Rattus norvegicus: one gene and its partners. The main gene of each other region encodes a partner of the protein of the gene in region 3 in a complex. Links are inferred from orthologs where the notes say so. Each region holds a gene or a part of one and is shown on either strand. Other genes may lie near its edges.

Region 1 (7,124 bases), on a different chromosome or scaffold from region 3:
TTTTTTCACAAGTAGATTTCTTCCTCACTTTACTGCCTGGAATGTTGATGGCTTTAAGAATGTTAATTAAACATTAGTGGTGGTTTTCTTTAGGACATTATGGCTTGAGGATTCTGTTTTCTTTCCCATTGTGTTTTCTGTTTTAAAAAAGCAGCTGCTGCTACCATTACCAATACCAGTTTGTGTTACTTGTAAGGAAAATGGCAGCTTGTGTTGTTTTTTTACATTTGTTTATACTTCTTGGCCCATGTTCTTTTATGACTGTTCACTCTAATTTCTGGCCCTTCCATAGTGGCAAGTTATTAAAACACTTGCCAGAAATTTCTATAAAAATTAAAGAAACTTTGTAATGAGCTAGGAAACTGGAAATACTGTGGCCCTACCCTCTACCTCCTTGGCCATGTTCATCTTATTGACTTAAACAGTAAAAGGCTAGTGTAGAGAAGGGTGATGTAAGGGAAGCAATGCAAGTCGGAGTGGGACTATTTCTAGACTATTTAGTAAGTGGGCAACATGTGATAAGGCCTCTTTATGCTTTCTTGTAAAATCTAGAATAGGATTTGGATTTTATTTTTTAGAGACAGTCCTTGTATCTTGATTTGGCTTTGAACTCTTGCCTTGGACTTGCAAGTATGAGGATTATAAATGTGAGCTACTATACTGAGGAGGTTTTGTTTCTCCCTTTAGGACTGATTTATGAAGATACTGGTACATGTATGTGGGGGGGAGGAATAAATTATAGTTCTCTCTACCACAAATTTATTTTCATACTATCATTGTTGGTTTGGGCTACTATAATAAATAGAATGGCCTAAGCTGTTATAAACAGCAGAAGCTTAGAGAGTTCATGAAACTGAGTAGTCAGAATCAAGGCCTGGGCAGCTTGATGTTTGAGGGTTGACTTCATGGTTCTCACTGTATTCTCATTGAAGAAAATGTCAAGGTAGCTCCAAAGGTTTCTCCAAGAAGATCACGCTAATCCTTACTTCCTAATGCTATAGCTTTGACGGTTAGGATTTCAGCATGGGAACTTGAGGTGAAAGAGAACACAAAGTTCCAGAAAGGTTCCCCCCCCACACACACACCCACCATTTTTTCCTTGCCTTTTTTTCTGTTTTTGTTGCTATTTAATTTTGGTTTTGGTTCTTGTTTTAGGATGAGGTATTACTGTGTTTCCCAGGCCAGCCAGGAATTCAAAATCCTCTGTTCTCAGAGCCAGGCGTGGTAGCTCATACTTTTTCTACAGTACTTGGATCATGGAGTCAGGGATCCAAAGTTTGAGGTCAGCCTGTGCTACATGAAACCATACCTTAAACAAATATCCAAACATCTTTTGTCCTCAGTCTACTGAGTATCTGAGATTACAAGCTTGTGCTGCTGTGATTGGCCTGATAGTTATTGCTGATCAATGTCAATGTGTAATAATAATAATAGTTGATTACACTGCCACCTAATTAATACAAGTCAACCAGTCAGAAGAAGGTCATTCTTTTTAGGGAACAATGTTCTCAAGTCTAAAGTCAATATATCTTAGTGACCACTTGCACTGTTTGTCCACTGTGGATGACTTGAAATGAGATTTTTTTTATACATGTCTTCATTTTTGTGTCATTCATAAATTTTGGGCAGGGATTGTACATGTTACATCTTTGAAAATGCCTTTTCACGTGCACGTACCAGGCTCTTTAGTAATCCATAGACATGATTTTAATGGTGCGTGTGCATCTCTTAGAGATTCAATTCCCAAGTATAGCTTTTAGGGTATCATTAGAATGAGCTGCTATTTCCCCTTCAAGGCTATATGTATGGGTGTTTTGTATGGGTTTATTTTTTGCCTGCATGTATGCATGTGCACCAAATGATTGATTAGTACTTCTAGAAGCCAAGAAGAGTGTCAAATCCCCTAGAGATGGAGTTACAGATGGCTGTGAGCTATCATGTTAGTAATTACGGAGCCAGTGCTCTTTGTTTGGACTAGGGGCATGGTTTGAGACATGACATAGCTTTAGCTATCCTATCTTAAAATTCACTCTGTAGACCAGTCTGACTTTGAACTCCCAAAGATCTGCCTGCCTCTGCCTCTGATTGCTGAGATTTAAGGGAATATGCCATCACTGGCTGGCTGGAGCCAGTGTCCTTAACCACCGAGCCATTCTCCCAGCAATGAAGTTTAAAATGAGGAAATTTCACTTTTCGTTTTTGGAAGTGTAGTTGGAGCTCAGAGATCTGCTAACTGCTAACATCAAAGGAATAGAGTTCTCCTGTCTTTGATAGCCTATTGTACCAGTGTTCCTACCAAGTTTTGCATGTACTGCTTGTCCTCTTATTCATTAAGAAACATTATGAAGTTATAGCCAAACCTAATTCCTCAAGGCATTTATATTTTGAAGGTAATTGAAGTTGTTCTCATTAAGAAAAAAAAAAAGATCTTGACCCAAGTTCTACTAATCACAGTAAACTCTAACCAAGTTAAGCCTGTGGCTCAAATGAAGCAGGTGGATTGCCATGAGTTCAGGTCCAGCATAGTGAAACCCTCTCTTCAAAAGAGCTTGGTGGATTTCTGACAGAATCCCAGCACTCAGAAGGCAGACCTCTGAGTCTGAGGCCAAACTGGCCTACAGAGTGAATTATAGGCCTGCCAAGGCCACATAGTGAAATCCTGTCTCAAAAAAAAGTTTTTAACAAAAACAAATCCATACAACTAAAGATGATTAAAGCCACAAGAATGAGGTTTATATTGACAGTGCTGGTTCATTAACATGATGGTTCATATTTTTTCTAAGTATTTGTTGAACAAAATAAAATGAGTGAACAGAGGCTTAAACATCTTAAGTTTTGATAAAATTAAATAGTCCAACCAGGTTTTTTCCTACTCCATATATTTTTACCATTTTAAAACACCTCTAATCCTCCCATTCAGAAAGCTAAGCCAGGAAGATTGTGTTTGAGTTGACTGGACCACACAGATTTCCCTGGCTCAAATAACTATGAAAACCTGGAGCTGGATGTGTATCTTCATGGTGGAATGCATGCAGCGAAGGCCCTAGGTTCAGTTCTTACCATGTCAATGTAAAAAGCCATTTTTAGATTACAAGGAAGATAAAAGTAGGCCACATTGTTGAATTAGGCCCAAGCACTACAGTTTGCTAACTCTCTGACCTAGACTTCTAGTATACCAGTGTTTTCCCAATGTTTTTCTATTCTATTCCATTTACTTGTTTTTCTTAAAATTCACCTCTATGCCTGCATTGTGGTTTCCAAGTAGAGAAAGATCTAGAATACATAAAGGCGTGTGTTTTCAATTCGGTCTCTTTCTTTTTAGATAATTTCCACTTGTTCATCAAGATGGAGAACTCAGACTCTAACGATAAAGGAAGTGACCAGTCTGCAGCTCAGCGCAGAAGCCAGATGGATCGATTGGATAGGGAAGAGGCTTTCTATCAGTTTGTAAATAATCTCAGTGAAGAAGATTATAGACTTATGAGAGACAACAATTTGCTGGGCACCCCAGGTAAGCTACATGTAATTTATATATGTAAGTTGCTGGGTTTTTAAGAAAATTGTTTTATAATGTTTCTTTAGTTAACGAAAAATTACTAATGCAGGAGATGCCAAATGGCATTTACTACTATATTTATTGTCTGATTTTATTCTTTTATAATTAGAATAGTCTTGTCAGATATGCTTGTAAGTTTTGAGTTATAAGTCTTTAGTGAAATGGATTAAATAAGAATCGAGCTGGACAGTTTAGCTAGTTATGCATGCAGGTACAAAATAACCAATGGGCCTTTGGTTTCTAGGATAGACTCATCTTATTTTGTCATCTCATCCTTCTCTCTGAATATGTCCCAACTGCAACCCTACAGAGTTAGCTGTGGGTAAACCAACTGCTGGAACTTGTCCTTAGTTATTCTTTCACTGAGATACAATCTCCTCTGATCTTAGTTACAACTCAAGTCTGTTTCCACTAACCTGCAGACAATTTCATTCAGTTCAAATGGAAGGTTTTAGCAAGGTGGAACATTTTGAGCTAATAGTACTAAACTTTAATTAGAATATCTTAACTGCAATTACGGCCCAGATGTTACTTGGTGTGCTTTTTGGCAAAACTTAAAGTGCAGAGCACAAAGCCCGACATGACATGGTGGCATGTGCCTATAATCCCAGCTGCACAGGAGGCTGAGACAGGAGGTCCTTGAGTTTGAGGTCATCTTGGATGGAAAAAATACAGAAACTGACTTGCTGTTCATTTGTAATTTGGCAAAAATTGTTCAACTTTCAGGCGAAAGTACTGAGGAAGAGTTGCTCAGAAGACTACAGCAAATTAAAGAGGGTCCACCACCACAGAGCTCTGATGAAAATAGAGGTACATTTTGTTTGGGGAGGTGGATAGAGGTTGGAAAGATAGGAACTTTCCAATAGGGAATATCAACCAAAGATTATCCAGAAATTCCACAAATTAATCTGGTGCTAAGTACTCATAGAAAGAGAAGTGACATGTTCTTGATATTTGGGGAGTGCTGTGGCTGCCTCAGCTTTGGATTGTGTTAATTGGGCAACAGTGAAAAGTCGTCTATTTAAGTTGAGATTTTCCTCCTCTTGGTTTTCCACATCTATTAAAATGTTCTCCTACTCATTTCCTTATATATAAGCATGGCTTTATCAGCAAAAGGAAATGCTGCTTCGTTGGCCTAGCACCTTTCATTAGTTGTTTGTTCCTCTTTGGGAGGGGCATTAGCAATGACTGGAGGCATGTTTGGTTGGCCCAGCTAATAAGAGTCTGCTGTTACAGGCAGGGAGCAAGTATGCTGGAGAATGGTACTTCTCTCTCTGCAGGAAATAAGCCTATAACCTAGGAGCTGTGATAGACGTTTAATTTGTGAACATACTGTTAGTTATTGCTGTTACTCTAGGTTCAGACTGTTCATTTGATAATAGTCTTTAGTTTTATGAAAGTTGAAAATCTTGATAATTGACAAATATTCAAGTAAATATAAACTGTTAGCCTTGTTTATATTTTTGCTCGGGCTATAAACATTTTAAAACAACTTCATGGTTATCAAAGGCAGTTAAGCCCTAGATGAAGTAATAGAGACTGATGAAATTTTGGTAGAAAATCCCAGTGCTAGCTGTCCCTGACTAGTGATGTTGTAGTTGATTTTGTTTAGATGGTGGCTTGGAAAATCCATGTTGCCTTCCCACAGTCTCACAGCATCTTCTAGAGCAGTGGTTCTCAGCCTTCCCAGTGATGACCCTTTAATACAGTTAGTTTCTCATGTTGTGGTGTCCCCCAATCATGAAATTATTTCATTGCTACTTCGTAGCTGTAATTTGCTACTGTTATGCGTCATAATGTAAATCTGCAGATGATCTTAGGTGACCCCTATGAAAGGGTTGTTTGAGTCCCCCAAAGGGGGTTGAGAATTGCTGAGTCTTAAGTGTCTTAGCTTTCTCTTTTCAATGTAAATTTGTAACATTTGTTCAGAATTGCAAAGTTCTTTAATGTTGTTTATGAGTGTTATGTTTCATGATTGTCCTAATTTTGTAGTTCCTTTCTCTCTCCCCCTCTTTGTTTTAAACAGCTGGAGAGTCTTCAGATGATGTGTCCAACAGTGATTCTATAATAGATTGGCTTAATTCTGTCAGACAAAGTGGAAATACAACAAGAAGTGGTCAGAGAGGAAACCAGTCCTGGAGGGCAGTGAGCCGGACTAATCCAAACAGCGGTGATTTCAGATTCAGTTTAGAGATAAATGTTAACCGTAATAATGGAAGCCAAACCTCAGAGAATGAAAATGAACCATCCACTAGGCGTCTTAGTGTAGAAAGCATGGAAAGCAGCAGCCAAAGGCAAATGGAAAGTCATGCATCTGAATCAACATCTGCCAGACCATCTAGAGCAGAACGCAATTCAACTGAAGCATTAGAAGTGCCATTGACCAGGGGTCAGAGGAGGGCAAGAAGCCGGAGCCCAGAACATCGGAGAACCAGAGCAAGAGCTGAAAGAAGTAGGTCACCTCTGCATCCAACAATTGAAATTCCACGAAGAGCTCACCATAATATCTCACCTCAGACCTTGGAGCAGCCTTTGGAAAATGAGCCTGAAGGGAGTTCTAGAACCCGGCACCACGTGACTCTGAGACAGCAGATATCTGGACCGGAGTTGTTAGGTAGAGGTCTTTTTGCAGCTTCTGGATCAAGAAATCCCTCTCAGGGGACAAGTTCTTCAGACACAGGTAGCAATAGTGAATCATCAGGATCCGGTCAAAGACCTCCAACCATAGTTCTTGATCTTCAAGTAAGAAGAGTTCGTCCAGGAGAATACCGCCAGAGAGATAGTATAGCTAGTAGAACTCGATCAAGATCTCAGACGCCAAACAACACAGTTACTTATGAAAGTGAACGTGGAGGTTTTAGACGTACCTTTTCCCGTTCTGAACGTGCCGGTGTGAGAACCTATGTCAGCACTATCAGGATTCCTATTCGTAGAATCTTAAATACTGGATTAAGTGAAACTACATCTGTGGCAATTCAAACCATGTTAAGGCAGATAATGACAGGTTTTGGTGAGCTAAGCTACTTTATGTACAGTGACAGTGATTCAGAGCCTAGTGCCTCAGTTTCCAGCCGAAATACAGAGAGAGCAGAATCACGGAATGGAAGAGGGAGCTCCGGTGCTGGTAACAGCTCTGCTTCCAGCTCAAGCCCTAGCCCTAGTTCAAATGGTGAAAGTTCAGAAAGTAGCTCAGATCTGTTCGAAGGCACTAGTGAAGGAGGCCCATCTGGCCCATCCAGGAGAGATGGTCGACATAGGGCTCCAGTCGCATTTGATGAAAGTGGCTCTCTGCCATTCCTTAGTCTGGCTCAGTTTTTTCTTTTAAATGAGGATGATGAAGACCAACCTAGAGGACTCACCAAAGAACAGATCGATAACTTGGCAATGAGAAGCTTTGGTGAAAACGACGCATTGAAAACATGTAGCGTTTGCATTACAGAATATACAGAAGGCAACAAACTCCGTAAACTACCTTGCTCCCATGAGTACCATGTCCACTGCATCGACCGCTGGTTGTCAGAGAATTCCACCTGTCCCATCTGTCGCAGGGCTGTCTTATCTTCTGGGA
Region 2 (7,426 bases), on a different chromosome or scaffold from region 3:
CACCAGTAAGGAAGGCCTTCTCAGCAGCTGCCTCAGTTTAAAACTCACATATATGTCGAAACTCCAGAGACGGCTCCCCAGGTGAAAGTGCTTGCCACACAAGCCCGAAAATGTAGCCTAAGTTCAGTCACCAGCTCCCACAGTGGAAGGAGATAACGGACTCCCAAAGGTGGTCCTGACATCCTACGTGTATCATGGCACATGCATGCACACTTCCATACACACTCTACAATACAGTAATTTTATTAAAAAAAAATTAAAACCCTAACTTTCCCTCGAGCTCTTGTGAACTAGGAGTTTTGTCAGCTATATCCTCCTATTCAGTGCATCTCTGGAACCACCCTGACCTGAAAAGAAAAAGGTTCCTTAGCAACCCTTTCAGAAATAACCAGAAGCCCCCAAAACCAGTTTATATAGCTACTTTAGACATTTAATCACAACTGTCATTTGAGAGCCCAGATCCACGTGGGTATAACTCACCCTTCCCGAGTGCCTCTCTACCAACCCTTGTTCTTACGTCTGCTCACAATGCTTTTAGTAACTTTCAATGCTGTCACAACCTGAGACTCTTTTCTGTAACCATGCCATGGATCTGCAGTGAAGGTCCCCAGAGGATAAGGAAACTCCTCAGGCTACTTACAGGTGACACCATGGAGCTGTTTTTCTGCCCCTGCCACCACTGACGGTGACACGACAGGAGCTGGCTCATGGCTGTGATCGATGAGCACAAAGCCTCTAGGACATTTAAGTGGTTCCTATTCTTCAGCAACACCCACTGAGTCTCCAGTCCCCCAGAGCCCCACCGCCTGAAATATAAAGAAGCCATCTCTCTGGAGTCTGCAGCTCTTAGTTCTTAGTCTTAGCTGGTTCATTCTGTCCAACTAACATCTTCTAACTCCGGGTGACTCCAAACTTCTCAGTAAAGACCCTTCTAATGGCATGACCTAGCCTGACTTTCCTCTCAGCCTCTACCCTGCATTCCAACAGCCTCAACTTCACCCTGAAAGGACGATACCCCCAAGTGACCATCTCATGTTCCAGACATCCTCTCCTATCTCTCCAACATTTTCCCTCCATCTCACACACCCATTACATCCGCTGTCTTCTTTAGGCATCTTAGAAGTCAGTCAGTCATGAACCAGCTCTGCCAACTGCATGCTCAACAACCTTCAACCCTGCCCTACAGCAGGGCTCTAGTGCAGTTCAGCTCTCCTGACTCTACGCCTGTGCGGCTGGGGAAGTGAACAGTAATGCTCACTCTGACCTCATGGCCGCACAGCCACATAGGCTCTCAATGTGGGAGGATACTCTTCTGAACTTCCACAGTCCAGTCTGCCTCCCACTCTCTTCCATAGCTACTCATCTTTTCCTAGTTCGTCACTGACAAACACAGGAAAGCGCAAGAGGACCTTTTAAAGTCCCCACAGAGCATCTGCTCCTGCATGGCACTCCAATCTCTCTATTTGGGTGGCAGATCTCATCCCCTCCCACCCACTAGGCAGGATCCTCTCCAGGATCAGTCCCATCAACACACAAACATGCCATTATTACTTCTCAGTTTAAAACAAAAAAATAAAATTATCTGGTTTAGTGACATGGGTCTGTAATCTCTGCTATTTGGGACACTGAGAATCTTCAGGACTGAAAATTCAAGAACAAGACTAGACAAGCCTGGGCAATTTGGTGAAACCTCCTTAAAATAAAAGTATAAAAAGATGGCTGGGGATATAGCTCGGCAACACAGCACTTGCCAAACATACCAGAGGCCCCCAGGGTCAGTCCTCAGTGGAGGGGGAGGGGGAGGAAGGAAGGGGGGGGGGAGAGAGAGAGAGAGAGAGAGAGAGAGAGAGAGAGAACACCCCACTATCATCCAACACTCCTCTGTACTACCTGAAGTTGTAGGACAGCCAGTCATTTGTGTCTCTGCACCTATCTCTGACTTCTGTTCCTTGCTCACTCCAATCCAGCCACCATTAGTGTCCTTCAAAGACCTCAGTGGCTTTGGGCTTGCTATTGCTTCTGCTGATGTCATCTGTCTTTTTGATTAACTCTGGGTTAGTTCCTGGTCTCCTTCAATAGCTCTGCTTAGGTATCATTGACACCCCTACCACAACAGCAGTGGTGATACACTCAGACCCACCAGATGCCACCCCAGCTCCGCCTTTTCCTGTAACAGTTCCTTCCTGGATCCTTCACTTTCCCATACCCTTCAGGTCTGACCTGTGACCTGCGACCCTGTAGCTTCCGGTACAGCACCTTCAGAACTCTGACTCTCCCTGTTGCCCAAAACCCATTTCTTCTTCTTTTTTTTTTTTTTTTCTTTTTTCTTTTTTTTCGGAGCTGGGGACCAAACCCAGGGCCTTGCGCTTGCTAGGCAAGCGCTCTACCACTGAGCTAAATCCCCAGCCCCCCAAAACCCATTTCTTGTGGTCTACTGATGACATGTTTTCCAAAGGTTTCCTCAGAAAGACACATAGAAGGTGATTTTATTGTTTTGTCTCACAGATGTGAAAATATCTGTGTTCTATTCTATTAGAATATAGGATTCTAAATGAGAATCATCCTTTTCACCAGGCACAGTAATCTGTAGTTCCAGCATTCGGGAACCCAAGGCAGAAGAACTAAGTTCAAGACCAGCCTGGACTCTCAGAGAGGAAGAGGGAGGGAGAGGGAGAGACGGGGGGTGGGGGGGACGGGAGTGTGTGTGTGTGTGTGTGTGTGTGTGTGTGTGTGTGTGTGTGTGTGTGTCAGTCACTGTTGGGTGACTCTACAGGTGGAGACAGGTTTGAACCTGAGTCGTGTGACTGCCAGACAAGTACTGAATGTACTAAACTACATTCCCAAGCCTTGAAATCATCCTTTTCACAAAATTGTGAAGGCAAGTTCTTCACATCTTAAGTGCTTAGCATTGTCACTGACCAATCTGATGCCATTCTAGTAAGAGTTTTGCATGTGACATGTAAGTCCTTGCTCCAAGTGTTTGTAATTTACCTTTAGCTCCAGTGTTTCAATGCCTCCAGTGGGCCCTTCCTCACTGACTATACTAAGTACCAGAATACTGGTAACATGGGTGATCTTTCTTGGCAGGGGAAGGGGCATCATTTGTAGCATTTGCCAATTTCTGTGCTGCCTGCTGTGGCCAATTTCATGGCACCACCATGACATCATCAAACACAGTTGGAGAGGATCCATAGCGCTGCACGACGCAGCCCCCACCATCAGATAACATAGTCTCAGAAACATGGATCATGTCAAGGGACTAGCTACAGCTTAGGAATGGCTATGTTTAACAATCCACTGGCCGCATGTTGGTTCCAATAGTCGTGGATGATCTAGCTTTCAGGATTAGGAAGTACTCATATTGTTTCTACCTCTTTGGTCCTCGATTTCTTTCTTAGGAACATCAGGTACAGAACTCAATTTTCCTTTAACTCTTCCTTTCCCATTTCCCTATGCCCTCCCTCACTCCCCCTTTCCCCTTGGAGAGTTCAACCGCTAATCTAACAACTGTAGGTCTCCTAGAGCATTGGCATTAGGACTACCCTTGCTTACATCTCCCGGTGTCGCAGTGGCCACAATTCTGCCTCTTCCTTTCCTAGTCTTTTTTTTTTGGGGGGGGGGGGGTGATGGGGGATGGGGACGGGGATTCTCTTAGGATAAATGAATTTCTTACATGATTCAGGTCTTAGGAGTCCATTGTGTCTGTTTGCACGCTTTGTGCTAACCCATGACCTACATGTTTATTTGCTTTTTTTGCTTTTCTACATAAAGATTACTAGAGAACATTTACCACACAATTTTGCATTAGGAGCCATGTATTCACAAGAAACAAAAAAATAATTTCAATTCCCATGTACATTATATTTTCAGTACAGTAAACTACGACCGTGGAGCTTACAGAATCTACTCAAGATAGTGGCAGCGGGTAAGATGTACAAGGACATTTATAATGTCTCAGTCTTAGGTGGCATGAAAAACATCTAAACTCATTAAGTGAGCTTACAGCTCCTCTCAGCTCTTTGATCATGTGACTGAGGGTGCCCACTGCACTAGCTAGTTTGGAATTGGGAAGCACAACTGAAGCATTTCCTGTGACCTTGTCTGTAGAGAACTGTTTTAACAGATGACAGATGAAGGAGTGCCCAGCCCACTGTGGGCAGACGACCCTGGACTATATCAAAAGCTAGCTAGCTAGGAATGAGCCAGGGACAAGACAGTAAGTAGCATTCCTCTCTGGTTCTCTGTCAAGTTCCTGCCTCCAAGTTCCTGCCTCGAATTTCTGCCCTGACCTTCTTCAGCGGAGGACTGTGACATGGAAATAGAAACTGGATTAAACCCATTCCTCCCGGGCTACTGTTGGTCACGGTATTTATCAAAGCAACAGAAAGCAAACTAGGACACCTACCTTCTATAACTTGCTAATGAAATGGTTAACTTAAAGTTAATTTTGAAAGAAGACTCTTAGGTTCAAGTTCCAACACTGCTATCAAAAAGGGAGGGAAGTGTTCCACACGTGTGCACCAGGAAGACCGGGGAAGGTGAAGCACACAAGACCAGCCTGGGCTACACAGTGAGACACTGCTTTCAACTGAAAAGAAGAGAATGGTGCTACTAAGGCAGAAGACAGGTGTGTCAGAGAGCGGGCAGGGTAAACGAGTGTCAGAGTCCATCTAGCCCACAACCGTCCCTGTGCACAGGCACGGAGCCGCTGTAGTAAGTTTACCTGTTTGCTCATCTTTCCCAGAAGCAGCAATGCTTGCTCTGACTCATCCGCTCAATGTGGTCTGGCCTATTTGGGGACCAAAAACAGATATTTTCCATACCTCATTAAGGTTAGAGCAATTTAGGTATGAAAGCCAAGGAGGCCTTGCCTGACTACCCGGGGCTTTAGCCCAAAGGAGCTGTTCCTTTCGTGCTGATATACTAAGAAGGCTCTTAGATGCCATGGACTTCCTACTTCCAAAACCATCTACAGTTCTGGCTTGTCTTGTTCTTAAGGGCCACCCCCCTATGTCTCCCTAGACTTTTAGAGGGGTTTTCCAATGGAGCAGAGCAAAGTGGATGTGTTCAACACGCCATATTAACCAGAAGTTCTAAAATGATCTCCACCACTCACTCCTCAAATATTTAAGGACTTGACAGTGAACCACTGAGGATAGAACAATAAGCAGACATAGTTTCTGTCTCTCTGCAGCTCACATGTGGTCTAAGAAGGACCCGGAAGATGTACCAACAACCACAGGTCCTCAGAGATGGGAAAACATCAGGATGACAGAGGAGTTGGCTGCAACAGGCAGACCTACCAAGGCCAGATGGGAACACAGTGTCCCGAAGCAAATGGCTACCAGCCTAAGGCCAACCATATGAAGTTAAGCCTGCAGGGCCTGGAGGAACAGCTTACCGGCGCTGAATCTGCCTTGCAAAGTTGTTGCTAGAAGCTGAGCAAGGGAACTGGACTTCACTGTGCAGGGTGGCATTGCGGAAGAGGTCACAGAAGTTCTCAAAGAGCTCCAGAAGTTCATCTGACGTGTTCTCAAAGACGGCAATCACCTCTGTTGTCACCATGTTGTACACCACAAAGAAGGAGGCCTGCAGAAGAAGACAGGCAGCCAATGGGGTGGTCATGCCTAGGTAACTTTCTACTTCACCTGAAACACACGACACCCAACAACCCACTCAGGGACCCCGCCTGGGACTAGATGGGGATGGAGGAACCAGCACTGCTGAGAACCTTGATGCCACAAGGTTTCCCGTGCTACTGCGCCGCTAGGATTACTGAGCTGGCCCGCGTGTATACATAAAAAGGCTTTCAGTCTTTCATTTCAAACTGTACAAATTCAATATTTTTCCTTCCAAGTGTTTATTCGCTACTTGTTCCCCAATCTACCCTAAGATTTTTTTAAAAAAAAAAAAGTTTTTAAAATGCCAGATTTAATTTTCCTTCCTGCTGGGAAAGTGATTTGCAGCCCAGGGCTGCCTGTTGGTAAATGATTTTCTCTTCTATGTGTACAGTTGAAAGTTCAATTTAGGGGCATTTATTTTTCCCTCTTATATTTCTAGCATGCAGAGAGACGCCTTAAGCACATTGTGTGCTAAACCGCCTGGACAAGTTGTATCCACGCAGGGCACTGCGGATGAACAAATGAAAAGTCAGACAGACATTCCCATTTCCTTTCCATAAATGTTCTTTCAGCCAAGAGCTTTTGTAAGGTACATTTGAGATTTCTGCCAATTAGGATGGGGGGGCAGGGACCTGAAAAGCATTCAAATGCCATAGGTGGCAGTCACCATTTTTCCTGAATGGAGGGACCCCTGGGCGACTGGGCCTTTTCCTTGACACCTTGAGTGCTCTGCCTTGCCTAACAGGAAGGAAGCTCTAGGTACCTTGAGGGTTTTTTTGTCACAGTGAACACTACAGTGTGAACTAAATCTGCAAGCTTCCAGCAGGAGTCTAAGATGTCCGGGACTCACGGATTCGCATTTCACCTTCCTTTGATTGAGTTTTAATCTGTTACCCATCTCTGCAGCCATTTGGCCCACCTGTCTCGTAGTAATTAGTCCTCCCCAGAGCTCCTCTTACATGACTTTGCAGTCACCTGGAAATTAAATTTGGCTGCAAATTAAAGTGGCTGGAGACAACCTGAGAACAATACCCATAATATTACCGAGGCTTTGTCTATGGATGTAGTTCTTACTCATTAACCTTATTGGAACTTATCAAATGAAACTGGAAGGGGAGACAAGAGGACAACTGGAGCGTGGAGACTGGTTTCGAGTTTCCAACTCCAGCAGCATGCCCAGTTATAGCTGACTGCAACTACCAGGAAAAAATAGGTCACCTTTTAGCAAAAGAAAAAAAAAGGATAATCTCAGCACTGTGATAACAGACAACTTATTCCTTCCAAAATAGAAAGGTAATTATAGCTGAAACCTAAATAAAAGAGTGACTCATGTCCCATCTATAGACCAGGACACCACTTTGATCATATCAGGGTTTTAACAGGATCTTTCATAATTATGCGAATATAAAATTTCACAAACATTTACCAGCTTTCCCTCTACGGCAGACTGGGAAATTAAGGACAGGAGGGGAGAGAAGTCAAGGCCTCTACCACCTATCTTCCATGACGCAGAAGATGAACTAGATGTTCACCTGTGGTGGCTCAGCAACACCACCCATCATTAACAAGGAAGAAAGAGATTTTTAAAAATATACTCGAGAAAAAAAGAAAAAAAAAAAAAAAAAAAAAACTCCTTGAAAGGGGTTGGGGATTTAGCTCAGTGGTAGAGCGCTTGCCTAGCAAGCGCAAGGCCTTGGGTTCGGTCCCCAGCTCCGAAAAAAAAAAAAAGAAAAAAAAATATATACTCGAGTCTGATCACTTTCCCCTTTTTAGAATACATAAGCTGTGATTATTTTTGGGGGGGT
Region 3 (7,426 bases):
TGCTGTACTTCTGGGAAACCCTGCCGAGGTGAATCTGAGCTCCCACCTCTACAGAGGGCAGCCAGTAAGGCTAGGACACGCCGCCTCCCCAGAAGTCAGTAATGAGGAAGGCTTGTGACTCACCACCTCCTCCATTCCAAAGGTCAACAGAATTCCTACAGTGACGAGCTCAATTAAAACACTCCTAAAATGTCCCATTAAAGAACCCCAGGTTTGTAGCCCATGAATTCTATCTATATGAGGATAAAGGAGGTCTTCCCTTTCTATCTTCATACTCGTCCCCATTCTCATACTTAGACATGGCCAACGCCATGACTGTAGTTTTATTTTAGTTTTATGCACATAGGTATTTTGCCTGGATGCATGTCTGTGCAGCTCATGCAGGCAGTGCCATGGAGCACACAAGAGCACGCTGGATGCCCAGGAACGGATTGCAGACAGTTGTTAGCTCCCTGTAGGTGCTGGGTATTGAACCTGGGTCTTCTGGAAGGGCGGGCTCTTAGACACTGAGCCATCTCTCTAGCCCCCACATCTTGCAGTTTCAAATATCCTTCACTGTCTCAAGGCCTCTTCAAACAAGATTCTTTTACCTAACATAGCACTTCTCACTTGCAGCTTTACGCAATTTAAAGCTCACTGTCAGTGTGCACACCTGAGACGCCTACTCCACTAAACAGGTCACACGCGGCTCCTGAGAGGTAGATGGCTGGCTACATCTGCTCTTTCACTCTGACCCTGACTTGCAGAGACTGCCAGAGAACGTCCCACGTGTCCCCGCAGGTGGCTTACAAGCCATTCCAAAGTACAGTGGAAGGACAGACAAACGGCTCCTGTGCACTCAGACGGTAAACAATTTCTCTGTGGCTGCATGCGTAAGTGCACTGTACAATGTGGTAAGGAACAAGGTTTGGGGTTGACTGTCTCAGCTCAGATCTGGACGCCCTGACTGGCAGCTCCCTGCACAGTGCAGGCAAGATGCTGGAGTTACTCTTTTTTGGCATCAAAATGCTCTCTGGGCATCGGTGAAAAGGAAGGAAGAAAGCCAAGCAAGAAAAGCGATGTAGGGGAAGCATGGAAAGTGTGACGGCCCACCTACAACCATGCCTGTGTCAGGTGCACAGACTACCCTGGTGACTAGCAGGCACAGCCAGTGAGCCCAGGGTCTTTCCTCTGCCAGAATGCTGCCTAAGTTCTAATAGCCTGAGGCAGCGGAGATCAATGAGAAGATATTCTAAAGTACACAACCTTATCTTAATAGTAGGAAGTCCCATGACTTGACTACACTGTACTCTTTCTTGACTTGTGTTAGGCATTAAAGAAATTCTATTTCATCAATATGTTATATTAATGGGCCATTACTAGAAAATACATATATATGTATACACACAGATTTTGGCATTAGGGATTAAACCCAGGATCTTACCAACAACTTATGCTCTCAGCCCTCAAAATATTTCCAAATGTATTACCAAGATATCACCACAGTTTCTCTGGCTTCAGGCGAGCACCTGGACCGAGGCAGCAGCACAGACACGTGTGGTTACCCTCTCTGTGAAGCCTCCTTTCCCCACAGTCTGCCTTTGCAGCCTGACCCTGGAGTAATTCCACTTTCCTATTTACACAGACATGGTGAAAACATGGTATTCTCTATAATATTATTCTGTAATATTACTTGTATATGCAGAAAAGAGATAATGAGAAAGAGCAATGAAACCCATGTAAAGTTAAGATAGAGGAACGACGTACGGTTTCTCACGTCTCGTTTCCTTTTAAGCACAGTGGGTACGGGGAAGCAGCCTACGCCAACAGAGCAGATGTGCATATATATAGATATATACATATGTTCAGTATATACATATCACAACACAGAATGTTAAAAACGGGCAATGCATCATACTGACCTTAGGGGGTTTAAACGGATAGTCTGGTGAAAAGGTAATGTCAAGAAAGAACACCCCTCCTTCATAGACAGATCCTGGGGGTCCCAATATAGTTGACCTCCATTCATAAATGTTGTCTCCTTTGGGTCCAGCACTGAAATAAGACACACAAATGAGATGTGCTTAGAAATTACATAAAGTTTGGAATTAAAAAAATATATGGTAATAATAAATTGAGCCATTTCATAAAACATAATAAAGTCAACACATTAATTTTATCTATCATATTGTTCCTGTCAACATCATCATCCTATAAATACAACATGCTGGTATTATGTAATCCAGCAGATCCGAAGGTCCTGCTCGCAACCCAAACGCTATGGAAGACGTCTCCGAGGACACTGGCCTTGCCTGAATGTGGGATTATGTGTGAAGACCTGAGAGGGGTGACACAGCTCTGGGTCAATAGCAGAGAATTTCCAAGTGAGAAAGGGTAATGCAAAGTGGCTGGCCCAAACCCTCTAAGCACTGAGAGCACAGACTGTCCCTGACAGACACCAGGGAACAGCCACCATTCTGAAGACCCAGCCATTTGGAACCTCTTCCCCCTACTACCCCATATCCTAGATAAGACATGTTATTTTATGATTGTATTTTATAACTTCTTCTCTGTTCCTCCCTAGAATAAACATTTCTTGAGGAATAGATTTTAGCTACTAACTAACTACACATTTGTTGGCAATGACAGGCTAATGGCTGGGCAGGTCATATGACTGTGAATGGCCAACATACACCCATGTCTCCAGCAAATTCACTAAGAAGAATAAAGCCGAGTGTGAATGGTGCTAATTCTTCCCAGTGAGCATCAGGGCCACAGTATGACTTTAATTTAGCTCTTGGCACTGGGGGCCTAGCTCAGTGGTACAGGGTTTGCTCAGTGTTTCTGATCTTTAAAGCTCCTCATGGGCAGGGGAAACCCAAAATAACTGGAGGTTTCCCAGGGTTCTTTTTGTTTTATCAGGTTATTAACTATGATGATATCCTAACAGAGTGGACAACATCATGAATGCTTGGGAAAGAGTTTACTCAAAAGTCACTGTAACAAAATTGATCATAACCAAGATAAGACTACACAATGATACCATTTTAAATGTAACTCGCCTCACTAAGCAATCAAAGTAGAAGGGAAAAAGTTATCCTCACAGGTTACAGAAGGCTTTCTGCCCTTTCTCCCTCCACTTTTCTTCTTCCAGAATCCCTTCCCTTCTCTTCCATGCAAAAGTAAAACCTTTACAGTATCTATAAACTGAGAAATGATATTTAGACCATGGAAAGCTGACCAAATCTTAGGGCCCAATCATAAATTCATATCAATCAACAGGGAAAAGATTAATAATCCATCAGAAAGACACCAGCAGACATTTCTAAAAGGTAGAAATAAAATTTAAAATATTTAGTTTCATCAAAATCGGGAAAATAACAATTCAACTGGTAAATATAAATGCGTAACAAGCAAAATGGAGTGGTGCACGGTGAGTCCGACGTCTACACACTGCAGATAAACACGCTCAAATGTGCTGGAGCACAGCGCTCTTCAGTCGGGAAGGAGGGAAAGTCTGGGCTTTGTAGCATCTTGGGTGGACCTGGAAGGTGCTGAGCTCAGCAAAGTCAGGTCTAGAACAACAAGTGCTGTGTGATCTCACAGTGTTAAGTAAAGCACTGGTCTCAGAGGGAGAGTGAAACAGTGGCTTTGAGTAGGAACAGAGTAGGAAAAGAGGCTGGTTAGTGGGTATGAGCCAGGTAGATAAGGACTTAAATGGACGTGATCCCAGGTAGATAAGGACTTAAATGGACGTGATCTCAGGTAGATAAGACTTAAATGGACGTGATCCTAGAGTAGATAAGGACTTAAATGGATGTGATCCCAGAGTATGTGGCCTGGTGAGATGGCTCAGTTGGTAAAGTTGCCTGCTGTCATACCTAATGTCATGAATTTGGTTTCCCAGGAAGTATACACTGGAGAGAACCCACTCCTGCAATGTGTTCTCTGACCTTCATATGTACACTAGGACATGTATATAAACACACACGTACACATCCATGTACACAAAATAAACACAAATGTAATATGGGAAAAGCATATTAAAAGGGCTATAGAATGCTATGTAAAACGAGCAGTTCTGTGATCTACTGCGTGTTAAAAACTGATCCAGTGTCCTTCCCAGCTGTAAAGTTTATGAACTATAACAATAACCAGCATTGGCAAGATGCCCCCCAAGGGTACAATAGTGGCACTTACATGTCTTAATTAACAGCCATTTAGAGAGACTTAAGGCCGCCTCTGTTGTAGGGAGTTCATGCCTGGTACCATAAACCCAGCCAACTACCCATGGCTGCCGAGATCCCGGACCATGGCTACCACAACGGCAGCCTCCTTAACCAGTGCAGTTCCCAGCTGTATTCTAAACACCGATCCTGATGCCCACAAGTAAGTGTCGCTTTCATCTCTCCCACTGAAGCTTCCTTTTGTAGCAGTTGGAGACAACTGCAGACATCCTCATTTAGTCCTAAGATAGAGAACAACTGCATTTGGAGACAACTGCAGACATCCACATTTAGTCCTAGATAGAGAACAACTGCATTTGGAGACAACTGCAGACATCCACATTTAGTCCTAGATAGAGAACAACTGCATTTGGAGACAACTGCAGACATCCACATTTAGTCCTAGATAGAGAACAACTGCATTTGGAGACAACTGCAGACATCCACATTTAGTCCTAGATAGAGAACAACTGCATTTGGAGACAACTGCAGACATCCACATTTAGTCCTAGATAGAGAACAACTGCATTTGGAGACAACTGCAGACATCCACATTTAGTCCTAGATAGAGAACAACTGCATTTGGAGACAACTGCAGACATCCACATTTAGTCCTAAGGTAGAGAACAACTGCATTTGGAGACAACTGCAGACATCCACATTTAGTCCTAGATAGAGAACAACTGCATTTGGAGACAACTGCAGACATCCACATTTAGTCCTAAGGTAGAGAACAACTGATTTTTGGATGCCCCAATCCAACTGATACACCCATAACACAACCCCTACACTTAAGGCTCAGGAACACCACAGAAAGGGGGATAGAAAGAGGCCCAGGATGCCTGTTGTTAGTAGGGTCTACTACATGAGACAGGGAAGCCACATCCACTAAATATGAAGAAAAATATGGTTGACTAAACAAGAGCTGTACAATGACAACATGAGCTGACACACACATGTGGGTGGGGTAATCTCACAAGGCTCCTGTACTGGCTGGTTTTGTGTGTTAATTTGACACAAGTTGGAGTTACCACAGAGAAAGGAGCCTCCCTTGGGAAAATGACATCCAGCTCTAAGGCATTTTCTAAATTAGTGATCAAGGGGGTTGGGGGAGGAACAAGCCCCTTGTGGGTGGTAGCATTCTTAGGGTGGTGGTCTTGGGTTCTATGAGAAAGCAAGCTGAGCAAGCCAGGGGAAGCAAGTCAGTAAGTAACATCCCTCCATGGCCTCTGCATCAGCTCCTGCTTCCTGCCCTGTGTGATTCCGGTCCTGACTTCCTTTGGTGATGAACAGCAGTGTGGAAGTGTAAGCTGAATAAACCCTTTCCTCCCCAACTCGCTTCTTGGCTATGATGTTTGTGCAGGAATAGAAGCCCTGACGAAGCCAGCACTACCCACTGATGAAGAGCCATGGGCCATCAATGGCTGCTGAGAGGGGGTGTAAGTATTCTCCAGGGATAAGCTCCTTGATAGATCGTCCAATCCCAAGTGGTCAGCCCTAAATATATATACAGAGGGCAACACTGAAAGTTAGCAGGTTTCACACACACACACACACACACACACACACACACACACACACACGAGCACACACTGCAGTAAAGCGGTCATGAATCTGAGAGGGAGGGCGAGGTAGAGGAGATGAAAATGATGTCACATAAGACTCATGTATCGAAATTCTCAAGAACGAAACACTAAACCGACCCAGGCCTCAGGGTGAGCTCATTGGTAGAGCATTCGTCTACTGAGCATGAGGCTTTGTGATCGATTTCCCATACCACTAATAAGTGAATATGTTTTGAGAAGATATGGACTGGAAAGATGTCAATCCATAAGTGACTGTGTGAGAACAGGGGTTAAGTTGGACTTGGGAAGCCGCATCACACAGATCTAGCAGTAAAGATGATGCCCCATTCAGTTTTATTTCATGTATTTGGACTTTGACTCTCTCTCCTTCTCTCCTCTCCTCTCCTCTCCTCTCCTCTCCTCTCCTCTCCTCTCCTCTCCTCTCCTCTCCTCTCCTCTCCTCTCCTCTCCTCTCCTCCCCTCCCCTCCCCTCCCCTCCCCTCCCCTCCCCTCCCCCACCCTCTCTCTCCCTCTCCTATTCTTTCTTTTGTCTTTAGGGTTATTTTTATTTTAGGTGTGTGGTTGGCCTGAATGCAAGTATGTGTGCCACATGTATGCCTGGTCGGTGTGCTGGATCCCCTGGGACAGGAGTTATCGATGGTTGTGAGCTGCTATGGAGGGGCTGGGAAACTAACGCAGGTCCTTTGGAAGAGCAGCAAGTACTCTCAACCCCTGGGATCTTTCTTGATCAACTCCTTCTCTAAAATACAGTAAGTAAAATCGCAGTTCCTAATGCAGTGCAGAGGAATCAAGCACACTGCACGGCAGTGAGACAGTAAGGGACCAGACAGCATTCTGCCCATCCTCCCATCTGGTAGTGAAGCAGAGGCCAGCACCTGCAGCAGCCTCTTGTGCCAACAGAGCACACTCTTCGGATGAATAAGACACACTTACATTCTGGGCTACAATTAAACCCAGTGAAGAGAGAAGTTTATGAGGAGGAAGAGTTTATGGAGAGTAAATTATAAGTTATAGTTACAACATTATCTCAAGGCTGATGGAAAAACTCAGTTAATACACAGCTATGAAACAGTGTGTCAAAGACTTTCAAATGTGAAGTCACTTTGAGAAGGTTTAAGGTGATCTTCCAGGAATGGAAACTTCAGGTAGTTACATACTATAGGGCCAAGTAAGTGGTCACCACACAGTGCCATCCAGAGAGGGACTCTTGCTAAGACAGATACCTTAGCAAGAAGGGCACCCACTGTGGACTATTTAAAATCAATTTCTGCTCATAGAGTTGCATCTGTCTTTCAATCAGAAACCCAGATTTTATTGAAATCAGCTGTCTATACTGCTGAGGTGGATTAAATGAACACAGCTGATATCGTTCTGGGTTGTGTTATCTGACCAAGGTGTATCTTTTAAAGAAATGCTTTGTCAGTAGCAACAAACTGTCTTTATAACAGACAGGGGTTTTCCAAGGCACATGAATTTCATTTGCCTGCTCAACACACAGACCGTGTCTTAGCTGTGTCTTAGCTGTCTGACGCCCTTGCCTCCTCAGAAAGCAGGCCTACACTACTTGCAATTCTATAGTTAGGAAAGTAGCACTCAAGCTACATAGGTCTCTACCTCTCTTCTGCTGGCAACATG

The links. The genes of interacting proteins can lie anywhere in the genome.
Region 1: the proteins of Ube2e2 (region 3) and Rlim are in contact, whole or in part, in a crystal structure (PDB 6W9A), measured with the Homo sapiens proteins. The link is inferred for Rattus norvegicus from reciprocal best matches to the Homo sapiens genes UBE2E2 and RLIM. Residues at the interface, in NP_001357154.1 of Homo sapiens: Lys52, Thr55, Lys58, Arg59, Lys62, Pro112, Asp113, Pro115, Phe116, Ile142, Asn146, Trp147, Ser148, Pro149, Ala150, Leu151, Thr152; in NP_057204.2 of Homo sapiens: Ser571, Val572, Cys573, Ile574, Thr575, Cys596, Arg599, Trp600, Pro608, Ile609, Arg611.
Region 2: the proteins of Ube2e2 (region 3) and Det1 are in contact, whole or in part, in a cryo-EM structure (PDB 9BJZ), measured with the Homo sapiens proteins. The link is inferred for Rattus norvegicus from reciprocal best matches to the Homo sapiens genes UBE2E2 and DET1. Residues at the interface, in NP_001357154.1 of Homo sapiens: Ala77, Gly78, Pro79, Lys80, Gly81, Arg88, Ser89, Thr90, Gly101, Val103, Phe105, Phe123, Arg124, Thr125, Arg126, Ser134, Gln135, Gly136, Gln194, Trp195, Arg198, Tyr199, Ala200, Thr201; in NP_001137546.1 of Homo sapiens: Arg258, Phe259, Tyr261, Asp264, Thr267, Val268, Phe272, Glu274, Asp289, Pro290, Phe291, Ile292, His297, Arg298, Leu300, Val301, Trp304, Arg305, Phe319, Phe320, Gln321, Phe323, Asp324, Arg327.

The regions. Positions count from the first base shown.
Region 1 is NC_086039.1:73,054,228-73,061,351, reverse strand, and holds part of Rlim (E3 ubiquitin-protein ligase RLIM), read left to right. Parts: intron 1-3,322; 5' UTR 3,323-3,345; coding exon 3,346-3,511; intron 3,512-4,282; coding exon 4,283-4,366; intron 4,367-5,582; coding exon 5,583-7,124. UniProt on the Homo sapiens protein: E3 ubiquitin-protein ligase.
Region 2 is NC_086019.1:142,162,767-142,170,192, forward strand, and holds part of Det1 (DET1 homolog), read right to left. Parts: intron 5,590-7,426; coding exon 5,402-5,589; intron 4,790-5,401; coding exon of another isoform or gene 4,732-4,789; exon of another isoform or gene 4,724-4,731; intron 1-4,723. UniProt on the Homo sapiens protein: Component of the E3 ubiquitin ligase DCX DET1-COP1 complex, which is required for ubiquitination and subsequent degradation of target proteins. The complex is involved in JUN ubiquitination and degradation.
Region 3 is NC_086033.1:9,625,878-9,633,303, reverse strand, and holds part of Ube2e2 (ubiquitin-conjugating enzyme E2 E2), read right to left. Parts: intron 2,035-7,426; coding exon 1,902-2,034; intron 1-1,901.